Ovis aries: one gene and its partners. The main gene of each other region encodes a partner of the protein of the gene in region 3 in a complex. Links are inferred from orthologs where the notes say so. Each region holds a gene or a part of one and is shown on either strand. Other genes may lie near its edges.

What was found. The genes of interacting proteins can lie anywhere in the genome.
Region 1: NSMCE3 (region 3) and NSMCE2 share a complex: the UniProt entries of both Homo sapiens proteins name them as parts of the SMC5-SMC6 complex. The link is inferred for Ovis aries from reciprocal best matches to the Homo sapiens genes NSMCE3 and NSMCE2.
Region 2: the proteins of NSMCE3 (region 3) and NSMCE1 are in contact, whole or in part, in a crystal structure (PDB 7DG2), measured with the Xenopus laevis proteins. The link is inferred for Ovis aries from reciprocal best matches to the Homo sapiens genes NSMCE3 and NSMCE1. Residues at the interface, in XP_018121157.1 of Xenopus laevis: Gly57, Glu58, Val60, Gln61, Tyr62, Leu64, Ile65, Lys66, Gln68, Lys69, Val82, Thr100, Gln102, Gln103, Val104, Phe105, Gly106, Phe107, Asn123, Leu125, Gln126, Arg127, Val128, Gly130, Asp131, Gly132, Met133, Arg134, Asp136, Glu137; in NP_001083134.1 of Xenopus laevis: Ile5, Glu7, Gln10, Arg11, Leu13, Gln14, Ala15, Met17, Ser18, His19, Leu30, His33, Leu37, His38, Leu54, His57, Leu58, Pro60, Leu61, Phe62, Met63, Val84, Asn86, Ile88, Thr89, Met91, Ala92, Ser93, Asp94, Gln149.

What each region holds. Positions count from the first base shown.
Region 1 is NC_056062.1:27,876,792-27,880,765, reverse strand, and holds the end of NSMCE2 (E3 SUMO-protein ligase NSE2), read left to right. Parts: intron 1-2,334; coding exon 2,335-2,452; 3' UTR 2,453-2,684; downstream 2,685-3,974. UniProt on the Homo sapiens protein: E3 SUMO-protein ligase component of the SMC5-SMC6 complex, a complex involved in DNA double-strand break repair by homologous recombination. Is not be required for the stability of the complex.
Region 2 is NC_056077.1:25,320,304-25,324,033, reverse strand, and holds the end of NSMCE1 (non-structural maintenance of chromosomes element 1 homolog), read left to right. Parts: intron 1-425; coding exon 426-542; intron 543-1,659; coding exon 1,660-1,941; 3' UTR 1,942-1,964; coding exon of another isoform or gene 1,965-2,086; 3' UTR 2,087-2,224; coding exon of another isoform or gene 2,225-2,304; 3' UTR 2,305-2,440; downstream 2,441-3,730. UniProt on the Homo sapiens protein: RING-type zinc finger-containing E3 ubiquitin ligase that assembles with melanoma antigen protein (MAGE) to catalyze the direct transfer of ubiquitin from E2 ubiquitin-conjugating enzyme to a specific substrate.
Region 3 is NC_056071.1:25,978,637-25,983,478, forward strand, and holds NSMCE3 (non-structural maintenance of chromosomes element 3 homolog), read right to left. Parts: upstream 3,031-4,842; 5' UTR 2,907-3,030; coding exon 2,049-2,906; 3' UTR 1,477-2,048; downstream 1-1,476. UniProt on the Homo sapiens protein: Component of the SMC5-SMC6 complex, a complex involved in repair of DNA double-strand breaks by homologous recombination. The complex may promote sister chromatid homologous recombination by recruiting the SMC1-SMC3 cohesin complex to double-strand breaks.

The sequences.
Region 1 (3,974 bases), on a different chromosome or scaffold from region 3:
GATCAAGTGGTGAGAAACGCCTTTTCCAAAGTCAGGAAAGCATCTTTTCATAATCTCAGCTTATTGACTTTCATGCTGAAAGAAAAAACTCACTCTGAGACCTCAGGGTGTTTTAAACCAGTGTAAAGCTCTTCTCAAGCACCTCCAAGCCTCCCCCTGACACGAAGCCAAGTCATCATATCTGGTCCAGTCACCCCCATCCTCTTTCACATGGTTACCTTTCTAGCCTCACATTTTAACACAAGTACCTGACCATACAGGACCCATTTCAGTAAATATAAATATTGTTAGCAAGCGTATTATTCATTACACTGATTCATGCTCTTCTCATAGAAAGATGCCTTGGTCCAGAAATCAAGACCAAGAAAGAGTTTCTCTTCTGTGTTACACAGTTGAGCCCTCTACTACTGGACAGATTAGACCTCGCATGATCAGCTTTCTTCCCCTCCTGGTTTATAGCTTTTGTCTTGTTTTTGTTATTTTTGATCTGTGCTTTTTGGAGGGTTGTCTCAGATCACTGGGCCAGAGCTCTGTGTGGGGCAGGAACCTGTATTTGTATTTTACAGCTGGATGCTTCGAACCCTTCATAGGGCCACTTGCATAAGAGGGTCAAATGAGTGCACGAATGCGCACATGTCTGTGTTGGAGGTGTGCAGGCTATAGGCAGTGAAGGGAATGACCGCTACTGAGCACTGTGTTGCCTGGAGCCCTGTGAAGCTGGGATTCTGCGCCTTCTGTAAATCTGAGGATGCAGAGGCTCCAAAAGTCAAAGTGAGCTGCCGGTGGTCTCATAACAAGCAAGTAGGCGGTAGAGACCTAGGTCGGCTTTGACTTCAAAACTGGGTGCTCTACTCTACCCAAGTCTGGCTCATGTTGAGAAGAAATCAGGTGACTTCATCCAGCCCACTGCCTTCAGAGGAGACCACATCTAAACAGAACCATGACTCACCCACTGATTTCTTCAGCCGCAGCTCTTCCCCTGAGTCTCCATCGGCCCACTCAGCCTCTCCACTGAGGACTGGTGGGCATTTCAGAGAGAATATGTAGCAGCCAGGACTCCTGCCTGATTCCATCCCAACCTAGTTTTCCAGTTGTTTCCATGGAGATAAAGGGTACCACCAAGGCCCTTCAGCTCTGGCCAAACTCTGAACAAAGCTCAGCTCTTTGCTTTACCCTCCACATCGGTCCTTCAGCAAGCCCCCTGGGTTCTACTTCCGGCTGTATCTGGAAGCTGTGCCCTCATCCAAGCTGCCCTTTCTCTCCAGCTGCTGCATGACCCCCTCACTTCCCTGCTTCCTCTCCGCCTGTGTCCGCATTAAACAGCCAGAGTCATGTTTTCTAAATCTAAGCTAAATTTCATCCCTCCCCTCCAGGATTTTCATATTTAAAATAAAATCCAAAGTCCCACACACTTCCAGTCGAATCTCCAAATGCCCTCCCTCTTGCCCTGGGCATTCCAGCTACATTGACCTTGCTCTTATACCAAGCAGCTGCCTCCTCAGCTTCTACACATGCCGCTGCCCCAGCCCCAGCCACATGCAGCCTTTGTTCTATTAATAGATAAGCCCTCCCAGCTAGCCATGCTTGACCCCTGCTAGATAAGCCCCTCAGCTCACACTCTCTCCCTTGACCCTGCTTTTTTAGCCATTGTGGCACTTAAAGACGCTATGCAGCGGGTTAGCAATGGTTTCTCTCCTCCACTGGAAAGTGAGTGCCGTGAAGTGGGCGTTGCCCCAGCCCCAGGTAGGTAGGCACTCTGAACTAGTGAATGAGTGCACATCAGTCCTGAGTTTTTAAATGTACCCCCTTTTTGGTAAAATTTCCAGACTTAAATACTACTCAGCCATAAAAAAAAGAATGAAATTTTGCCATTTACATCAACGTGGATGAACTTGGAGGGTAATTCTGCTAAGAATGAAATTTTGCCATTTACATCAACGTGGATGAACTTGGAGGGTAATTCTGCTAAGTGAAATTAGTCAGACAAAGACAAACACTGTATGATATCATTATCTGTGGAATCTAAAAATAGAACAAACTAGTGAATAAAACAAAAAAGAAGCAAACTCACAGAGAGGACAAACCAGTGGTTACAAGTTGTGGGGGCTAGCATGATAGGGGTTGGAGGAAAAAAGGTGGCGGGGAGGGGTTATTATGGGATTATGAGAAATCATCTGTGTGAAACTTTTGACAATTGTAAAACCCTATAGAATTGAAAGAATTTTTCATTCAGTTTTTTTTTTAAGTGTGCACTTACATTTTTGCACGGAGAGAAGTTGATTCTGAAGGCATTAAGGTGAAGCGGCCTGACTTGATTTTTCTCCTCTGTCACAGTTGCCCGAAAATTGGCTGTAGCCACACAGACATGAGAATGTCGGACCTCATCCAGGATGAGGCGCTGAGAAGAGCGATTGAGAGCCACAACAAGAAGAGACGTCGCCAGTCCAACTAAGAAACCCCCCTGCCTGCAGGGAACTCCGCAGCCTACCTCCTACCCCAGCCATCCGTAGAGAGTGATGCTTGTCAAAGCACTTTGACTGGCTGCATAGCATACTTTGGGGTAAATTTGAAGGTTTTAGTGTATTTGAAAGCATTTTTCTATGTTTCAATAAGCATTCAAGTCTATTATATTGTTTATTTTTAAGTGTTCTCTAATTTTAAATAAAACTTTGATTATCTGTGTATGTGTGCCTCCTGAGGTGTAAATGGTTCCAGTGGTATAGGCTGGGTGGTGGCCTATAATCCTTCAGACTGTTTTTTATTATAGTTTTAACAAACTATAGTTTGTTAACTATAACTATAGTTTTTATATATATAAACTATATAATATATAACTATATAGTATATAACTATATATATACTATATATAGTATATAGCTATAGTTTTTATTATAGTTTTAACAAACAAGCAAACAAAAAAAAAAATGCTTTTTACAAGGGATGTTTGAAATGGAAACACATAAAAACAACCCAATTGCAAGGATTTTCTTTCAGGATAGTAAAGAATAGCATGAAGGTATAAAGCAAAGCCAGTTTCCTTACCTGTCTTTACTTTGTGTATTGACAGTTCCAAATATGTAAATGCTGTTATTTGTCATTCTGATGAGCACGGACTGCTCCAGTAGCTGGCTTATCAGTGGGATGATAAGTGATGCCATAATGGAAACTTTGCTGCAGCCTTCTGAGAGCCTAAAGTGTTCAATGTCGGAAGCAACCACATCCTGGCTACTCTCTGCCTTGCTCTCTGCCTTGGCTTTCATAAGTGCCTGGGGGTTGTCAACCGCAAAATAAAGATATTAATAAGATGTTCCCTGTCATCCCTTCAGCCCTGAAAGTCTGTAGACTTATGACCAGCAGGGTCTTTAAATTGACTATCACCGATTATATCCTATTTATATGAAAAGGACTAATCTATTCACAGTGGCGAGACAGGGAAACCTGGCATGCTGCAGCCCATGGGGTCCCAAAGAGTCAGACGCGACTTGGCAGCTGAACAACAACAGCAGCCTTTTATCAACTAGAATAATCAATGAAACCCTACAAAGCATGCCCCGACTACACTAGAAAACCCAGAAGAGCTCACAATGGCTAGCATTTATTGAGCATATACTGTGTGCCAGGTACTGTTTAAAGCACTTCACATATATGAAAATATTAACTCATAATTTTCTCAGCCTGATGAGAGTGATGCAGTTATTATTCCCACTTTACAAATAAGTAAAATGAGGCACAGAAATGAAGTGACCTATGGAAAATCGTAGTAAGTAACTGAGCTGGGATGGTTCAGTCATCTGGGTCCAGAGTCTGGGTTCTTGGGGGAGGCGGTTTCCTTTTAATTTGTTGGCTGTGCTGGGTCTTCCTTCGTTGCTGGCTTCTCTCTAGTTGCAGCGAGCGGGGGCTGCTCTCTCACTGTGGGTTCTCTTGTAGAGCGCAGGCTTGCCCGCAGCTGTGGCACATGGCCTTAGTTACTCCAC
Region 2 (3,730 bases), on a different chromosome or scaffold from region 3:
CTAGGAGGCAGTGCAGTGCTGCTCCCTGGGGTCGGGGCGGGAGGCACTGGGGGAGGGAGAGGAAGGAGTAAGAGCCTGGCTCAGGGCTGTGGGGTTCACTCCGTGGGGTCACGGCTCCCTTTCCCGGCCTCTGTCCTCATCCAGGAGTGCTGGGGCAGCTCCAGGATTCCTGTCTGTGAAGGCACGAGGATGGTGCTAAGGAAATGTGGGGCAGTGGTCCTCGCCTTGCTTTTCTTTTAGGTCTCACCTAAGTTTTCCCCACTTTAGGCTGTACAAGGGGTCGGTGTGAATGCCTGCGGGGCAAGGGGTGTGCGGACCTTTGCCCCTTCCTGGCCTCGGGCCGTGGGAGCAGAGGTACCTCTTGGGCGGGAAGCAGGCTGGGTGTGCCAGTTCATAAAAGATGCCCCCACCTTGTGTCCCCGCAGAAGGAAGGGGAGTTCACCCTGCACGGCCGGGCCATCCTGGAGATGGACCAGTACATCCGGGAGACGTACCCTGATGCCGTGAAGGTCTGCAACATCTGCCGCAGCCTGCTCATCCAGGTGCCCGGGGCCGGGCGGGGCGCACTCTGCAGGGCTCACTCAGGGCCCAGGGCTCACTCAGGGCCCAGGGCTCACTCAGGGCCCAGGGCTCACTCAGGGCCCAGGCCTCTGACCACGGGCATCTCCTCAGAAGCATCTGACGACAAGTGCACGAAGGCCTGCTTCTCCCTGCTCCTTCTGCTCTGTCCCAGGCTCTTTTTATTTTTGCCCCCTGCCCTGCTGTGTGCCTTTGCCCAGGACCCCCACTGTCGCCCCAGGGCTACAACGCGTGCTCTCAGAAGTCTGTGTCTCCTATTATCGTGGCAGCAACGCGCCAACCATCTTTCTGTCTCAGCCACAGATTCCTGTCGTCTGTTGGCCTCTGAGTACATTGTACAGCTTCAGAGCAGAGCAGCTGGACCAGTGCTGGATGATTCTGCTTTTGCCTTTTTGCTTTAGACTTTTCTGATGCCTTTTTTAAGGCCTTCATTGAGTTTGTTACAGCGCTGCTTCTGTTTTTTTATGGTTCGGTTTTTCGGCAGTGAGGCAGGTAGGACGTCAGCTCCCTGACCAGGGATCGCGCCTGCACCCCCTGTGCTGGAAGGCACAGGAGGCCCAGGGAAGCCCCTGTGTTTCCTCCTTTTTCATTCTCTTTTTGCATTTATCAGTTGCACTGGGCTGGGCCTCTTGGCACATCCATCCTTGGGCACCTAGTGGTTATGTTTCTTGGGTTGGAATCCCAAGAGTGGAATTTCTAGAACAGAGTGTGCACACGGCTGTTTAAAGCTCTGCCCCACGCTGCTGAAGTGCCTTCTGAAAGCCGTGGTCGTCTTCATGCCCCCTCCAGGGCCCACTCATGCTCAGAGTCCAGGCTTGGGGGCGGCCTTGCTGCTCCAAGGTCCTGGCCGCCACCCACTCTGCCCTGCTCTGGCCTCTGGAGCCTTGAGCTTCTTCCCTTTGCACTCACTTGTCAGCTGCTTTACTAAAACCCACTGCACTGAAGACTCAGAGTTGTTCTCATTGTCCGTTTGGGGCCTGGAAGACAAAATTACCAAGCCAGTGGGATGTCTTCTTTGCAGTCCGCTGAAGGGTTATGAACACAGAGATGTGTTCTCAAGCCATCACTTTCTCATTTCAGGGTCAAAGCTGTGAGACGTGTGGAATCAGGATGCACTTACCTTGTGTGGCTAAGTACTTCCAGTCCAACTCGGAGCCGCACTGTCCCCACTGTAACGACTACTGGCCCCACGAGGTGCCAGGTCTGTGTCTCCCAGCCACTTGCTTTCCTCCTGGCCTGTGGCAGGGCTGTGTGTATGCCAGAGTGTGCGTGCCCAGCATTGAGGGGGCACCGGGGCGAGGGGCGGCAGGGCACCCCAACAAGGGCTCCATGTGTGTGCGGGCCCTGGGCCCCATGTACTGAAGTACCTTCTGTGGTCATTGGAGGCCGGCCTGCTTGCTGGTGTTGGTTCCGCAAGGTGCTCTGGAACCCAGCAGAAACCCTGAGACGCGAGAGGGTCTGGTATAGTAAACACGCTCCCCTGCAGCTGTCTCTGGAGGGGAGGTGAAAGTGCATCCCCAGACGGGCTCATCCTGCCTCCCTGGGGGGTGAACTGTTCCGTGGGACAGAGTCCTCGGCACAGGCTTATGGCTGGGGGCGCCCACCAGCCCCGCCACTCACAGTGCCTTCTGGCTTTTCTGTGCAGAAGTCTTCGACCCCGAGAAGGAGAGGGAGACCGGTATGTCCAGATCAAACAAAAGGTCCTTACGGTCCCGGCAGCACTAGCCAGGCCGCCGCCTTCGGGGGAGTGACCGCCTGCCCCATTTGGAAGAGAGGCATCAGTTTCACGGTTCGCGTGGATCACCTTTTTACCTTTTATGTTTGCTTGTTAACAGGTTTGGAATAAACTTGCTCAGCAGCTCCTGCGGCCTCATCTGGTGGCGCGCCCCTCTCTTGGCACTCACTGAGAGCTGGGGGCCTGGGCTCGGGTCTGGGCTGCGGCTGGCCGAGCGCCTCCTGCCCAGCATGGCCCGAGGCCACTTGCTCAGGACAGCGTTGCTTTCAGTCCCTAGCTCTGGTCACTGGTCCTACTCACACTGGCCAGCCCGACTTACTGGATGTGTGGGAGCCTTAGCCTTGGGCCCGCCCCATGCCCCACACTCTCCCTGGCCCGAGGTGCACCGGCCTGCACGGCACGAGGCTGCGGGAGGGGCTGTGGCTGTGTGTCATCTCTGGGCGCTCTGCCTCGCCTGCAGCTGCCCCAGGCCTGACCCAGGAAGTTGGCCTGGGTGCCACCTTCCCCTGGGTCTCCTGCATCACGCCTACCACCAAATCCTGTGCAGCCCACCTGCCAGATGGCCCTCAGCCCCACGGCCACCACCCAGGCTGGCCCAGCTCCCCTCCCCTCTGCACTGCTTCCAGATTCTCCCTCAGGGTCACCCTCCCATGGCCCCCGTTGCCCTGAGGCTGACGCCATGCAGGGGCCTGTGCGTTTCACTGTCCCCCCTCCCACTTTCCAGGGTGTGGCATTTCTCTGTTCCTGGATGAACTTTCCTGCTCCTCACCCTGCAGCCTGCACACACGGTCCCTCCGCCTGCCTGCTCTCTCCCCACATGTCCTGCCCTTGCCAACACCACCTATTCACCCTTTAGATCTTGGCGAGGTGGTCACCACCTCCATGCCCAGTCCCCCACCTCCCCGTACATTCTCGACCATCACTTGCCACACTACTTTAATTCCCTGACTCCCCTCCCTTCCAGCCCAGTATCAATCAGGACCCCTTCAGTCATGATACAAAACCCAACTCAGATTGGCCTCAGCACAGAAGGCTAGGGGGCCCTTCAAGAGGTTTGATGCAGTGGGCCCAGGGTGCCCACGCGTCTGCATCGCTGTCCCACCCTGTTATATGTTGGCCTCATGCTGGGGCTAAAACACGGTCTCAGCAAATCAGCCTCTTTCTTCATGGTAGCAAAATGGCCACCATACTTCCAGGACCCGCACACCCAGTCCCCACCGTCCGGAGGAAGAGGGCAGGTCTCATTTAGTGGCTCCCTCATCTCAGCAAGCATCCAGTCTGCATACTTGTGGAAGTGAGGTGGGAGAGTCCAGGGGGCACTGGTGACCTGGGTCTCCCCTCAGCCACAGGAAGGAGCCCCTCCTGAGCCACATGGCTGAGTGAGGAAAAAGTCGTTTCAGCAAATTGAATATGATG
Region 3 (4,842 bases):
CACTACAAAAAGGGCTTTTACCAAATGCTTTTCCATTATATCACACTTCTTTCCAACATCCCCAGTATTAGCTTCCTCAACTTCTGAATCATTCAGGATAAGACAGGTTACAAATAACTCCAGAATCTCGGTGTCCTAACACAGCAGAAATACTTTCTCCTGTTACATGACCAAAGCAGGTCAAATGGGTTTTGCCTTAGGTTCACTTGGGGCTTCCCTGATAGCTCAGTTGGTAAAGAATCCACCTGGAATGCAAGAGATTCCAGTTCGATTCCTGGTTGGGAAGATTCCCCTGGAGAAGGAGTAGGCTACCCACTCCAGTATTCCTGGGCTTCCCTTGTGGCTCAGCTGGTAAAGAATCCAAAAGCAATGCGGGAGACCTGGGTTCAATCCCTGGGTTGGGAAGATACCCTGGAGAAGGGAAAGGCTTCCCATTCCAGTATTCCTACCTACAGAATTCCAAGGACTGTATAGTCCATGGTGCCGCAAAGAGGCGGACACGACTGAGGGATGTGCACCTTCACTTTCAGGTTCACTCAGGCTGCTGCTGCTAAGTTGATAAGCCCTGTCAGACTCTTTGATACTTCACTGACTGTAGCCCACCAGGCTAGAATTCAGATTTCCCAGGCAAGAATACTAGGGTGGATTGCCAGTCCCTTCTCCAGGGGATTTTCCCAACTCAGGGCCTCCCACATTAGCAGGTGGGTTCTGTACTGTCCTGAGATGTCAGACAACCTCCCAGGCAAGAATACTAGGGTGGACTGCCAGTTCCTTCTCCAGGGGATTTTCCCAACTCAGGGTCTCCCACATTGGCAGGTGGGTTCTGTACTGTCCTGAGATGTCAGACAACCTCAAAACCCCATATCCTGTTCACTACACTGCAGACACCCCTTCCAAGCCCAGTTGGATCTTACTTTCTGCTCTGTTTATGTGGGCTCCATCGTGAGCTATTTTTCCATAAACCACACAGTAGAGTCGGACTAGAAGGACAGTCATGATTTACAAGAGAATGAAAGAAAAAGTTAAAAAGAAAAAACTTTAACAGTCCTAAGCCAAGGAAAAAAAGCCCAATTTAAACAAATTTGTGCCCATAACTTTACATAAACTTCCATACCTAATTATCACACTACCATACACAGTAACAGGCAGCATCAACCCGTTTTATAGGTAAGGAAAGGTCTGTGTACAACTTAATCTCCTTAAATTTGTAAGTGAGGCAGACTCTGAACCCACTAGTCTGATTCCCAAATAGGCATGGTTAATCACTAAGACTTTTATCAACTTTTCCATGACCCACAGAAATAATTTTACATCATGATCCAGTATGTCACACATATAAAAGTAAAGCAACTTCAACAAAACACTATTTACCTCAATGATATGTAACAAAAATTGTTTTCTTTTTTCCTTATGATGCTAGTTTTCAGTCATGAAATTTCTCATGAGTTAGGGTTAAAATAAATGCATAATGCTAAATTGCTTCAAAAATACAGTATTTATTATAACTATAGTAGCAAAAAAAATTGAACAAAATGGTCAGCCACACAGCATAGTAATTATCAATGTAAAAAGTTATTTGGAAAAACTACAATACACACATTGCTTAGAATGACTCAAAATGCTTACATGCATAGAAAACAGATTTTTTAAATAGCTGCGTTAAGGTAATAGGGGATATAGGCAATTACACTTTCGTTTTCAATTTACGAAGACTTTTCCTTTACAGAGTGGGGCAGTTCAAAGGCCGGACAAGGGCCAGTTCGCTTATATTTCCTTGGCAGTTCCAGATCCGGGTAGGAAGTTTTCCAATTCGCTTTATAAAGCTAACAAGATCTTTACACCAAAAAACACAGACACTGAAGCAAATCAAAACAAAACAAGTCACCCTCTAAATGAAATTTTAGAATCAAAACGACTTACAACATTACAAGAATTAAAGTTTGCAAACACTTCCTGGAACTACCACGCATTTAAACAATCAAGATGCTTCCTCCCACCTCCAGCCCTTCCCCCGGGGAGGGAGAGGGCCCTGGGGTGTGTCTCAGATTTCAAGAGACAGGAGCAGGGGTTGGGGCAGAGGCAGTGGCTGGACTCGGGCCCGCGGGCTGGGGTCTGGCCCTGGCCTCCTCGTCCGCCAAAGCCTCGCAGTACTGCGCCGGCCAGTCCTTGGGGTCCTGGTTGTGGACTTTAGCCACAAACTTGAGCACCTTCATCTTGCTGGTCTCCAGGTTGGTGCGCGGGCCCCACTGGAGCTCGTAGTCCACGGGGTCCGTGTGCGGGATGCGCCGGTAATCCAGGTATCGCTGCCGCACGAAGTCCTCGGTGATGAGCTTCTTGGGTTCCCCGAAGATGAGGTGCTTCTTGTCGGGGTGTACCCCGAGGCGCCGCAGGAAGTCCCAGACCTCGGTCTCCTTGATGGTATTGCCTTTCATGAAGATGAGCCCCAGCACGATCATGAGCAGCCCAGTGGTGGGCGTTCCCTGGTCTCCGCGCACCTCCGCGTCCTCTTCCACCGGTTCCAGCGTGTTGACCAGAATGTAGGTGTTGCTGCGCGGCTCCAGCTCCACCAGCCGGTACCCGAACACGTACTCCAGGCGCTCGGCCGCCCGCCGCAGCAGCTCTGGGAGCACATCCTTGTAGTCGCCGACCACATGCCGCAGGATGTCGGTGCGGCGGATAGGGATCTTCCTCTGGTCCTTGATCAACAAGAACTGCACCAGCTCCGCCACCTTCAGCTCCAGCTGCTTCTGCGAGCGCGGCCCCGGCGCGGGGGAGGCCTGGGCCCGCCGCTGCGACGCGGCGCCGCCCGGCCCGCGAGACGTGCTCGGGGCCTCCTCGCCGCCGCCACTCGGCTCCCGCTCGCCCTGGGAACTGGGGCGGCCCCGGCTCTTCGGCTTTTGCGACATGTCGCGGCGGCGGGACCCCGACCGCGCGGACTCCCCGTAACCGGCAGCGGTGGCAGGGATTGAAGGTCGGTTAGCCGTTAGTCCGTGGGGCTGTGGGAGGGCCCGGAGGAGAAGCGGTTGTGTCACAGAAGCTGCGCGCTTGCGTCACAGAAGCTGCGCGCTTGCGTCACGGAGGCTGCGCGTTGCGTCATCGAGGCCGCGCCGCGTCTAGAGGTCGCTCCGGTCTGGCCAGCGGCCGCGGACGGCGGCGGTAAGAAGCGGGTATTCCTTGCAGCCTTTCGGGCTGTATTATGATTAAGTGTCGTCGTTATTACCAAACCCTGCAGATGGCGAACAGGAAGCAGAGCTCCTGAGCGAGTGTGCGGCTTGGCTCAGGATCGTACCCAGGCCAGGGCTGTAGAAACTTGAGAGTCAAAAGCTCTGAAATCAGGGCTGTATGTAGGTGAAGGAAACTCCCAGGATGAATATGGGAGAAAAATACGGCGAAGAGCGTGGAAAGGAAGTAAGAGCAATTTCTTTCCACACGAAACGACGTAAAGACAATTAAAAGACCCCAAGGACTACTAGTTTGCCTTCGCCAGCCCCTTCTCACCATTTTCCACCAGTTACTTTCTCTAAAGCCCGAGTCTGTTTAGAAACAATGGTAAACAGCTTCGTCTCGCATACAGGGCTCTTTCTCCGTGTCTTTTCACCTTTCAGCCTTGATATTCTGTGTAATCAACTCTTTCAGCCGGACAGCTATGGCACAGTCACCCCAGAAAGCACGATAAGTGGAGGGTTTTTGCTTGATCCGGGGAGTTTTATCTATTGGAAGCACGTGCTCATGGAAAGATGGGCCTTGGGCTCACAACCACAGATCTGGCAGAAATGGCTAAGAGAATGCTACCAACAGAGAAGTCGGTCTCAAGAGACTACCATTTAATTTGGGGCATCTCTGACCAAGAATTGCTAACATGTGAGTCTCTAGCCTTAGAGATCAATGAGAAAGCGAAAACTCCAGGTTATCATCCGTCATAATCTGTGAAATATCTACTTTATATTTTTAATTGTGCTGCTTTAGTAACCAACGTGAGTCATTTCATTAACTCAAACCATCTGTAATCTGCTGCCATTACATCCACAGATCCTAGCAAATGGGTTCCTTTTCTATTTACTGACTTGCAAAGGCGAAACTTAATTTCCCTCTTTGTCTTCTTAAAGCTACCAGAAAGTGGGTAAACTGTTCAAAGAACCAAATCAAGTTGAGTTCCTCTTTAATGCAAATATATTCAAAGGAAAGCAATTCACAACACATTATTTGAATAATAACATCAAAACACAACCTTATTAAAATTTCATTAAATGTTGGTAGCATAAAATTTTGTTGTAATTTACTATGAAAATGCAATCTGATAATGGCACTGGAAAAGCAATACTAAATGTAAAATGATATTCTGTGTTGTGATGCAAGAATGCTAAAATCTGGTAAACTATGAGTAATAACGTTCTCTTCCACACAAGATCTAACAGTATATCCCCAGGCATTAATCTTAATGGCAGAAGCCTGCTAAGAAAAACAAATGTATCATCAAGGCACTCATTTTTTTCTTTCACAATGGGACAATCCATCTGCTTCAGTTTACTTGCAAATTAAAATTTAAACTCAAATGCAAAGAAACCTCCTACAGTTGAGAATCCTGCAAAAGGTCCCTTCAGAAAGATCAATTGTATCTCGAGTTTAAAAAAATCTACCAAAAGATGACAGAAATGGGAAATAAGAGGAAAGCCATTGTCAATAGCTGGGCTGGGTTATTTTTTAGTGTTCTGTCTTGCTCAGGTAGTCACTTCAGTTCCTAGTAATCCCACAGGTCTAGCAACCCCTGTGACTATGAAAATCAACATCTTTACCCAGATAGCAGATGTCATACTCAAAATGGGTGAAAAAAATACCAGTTTT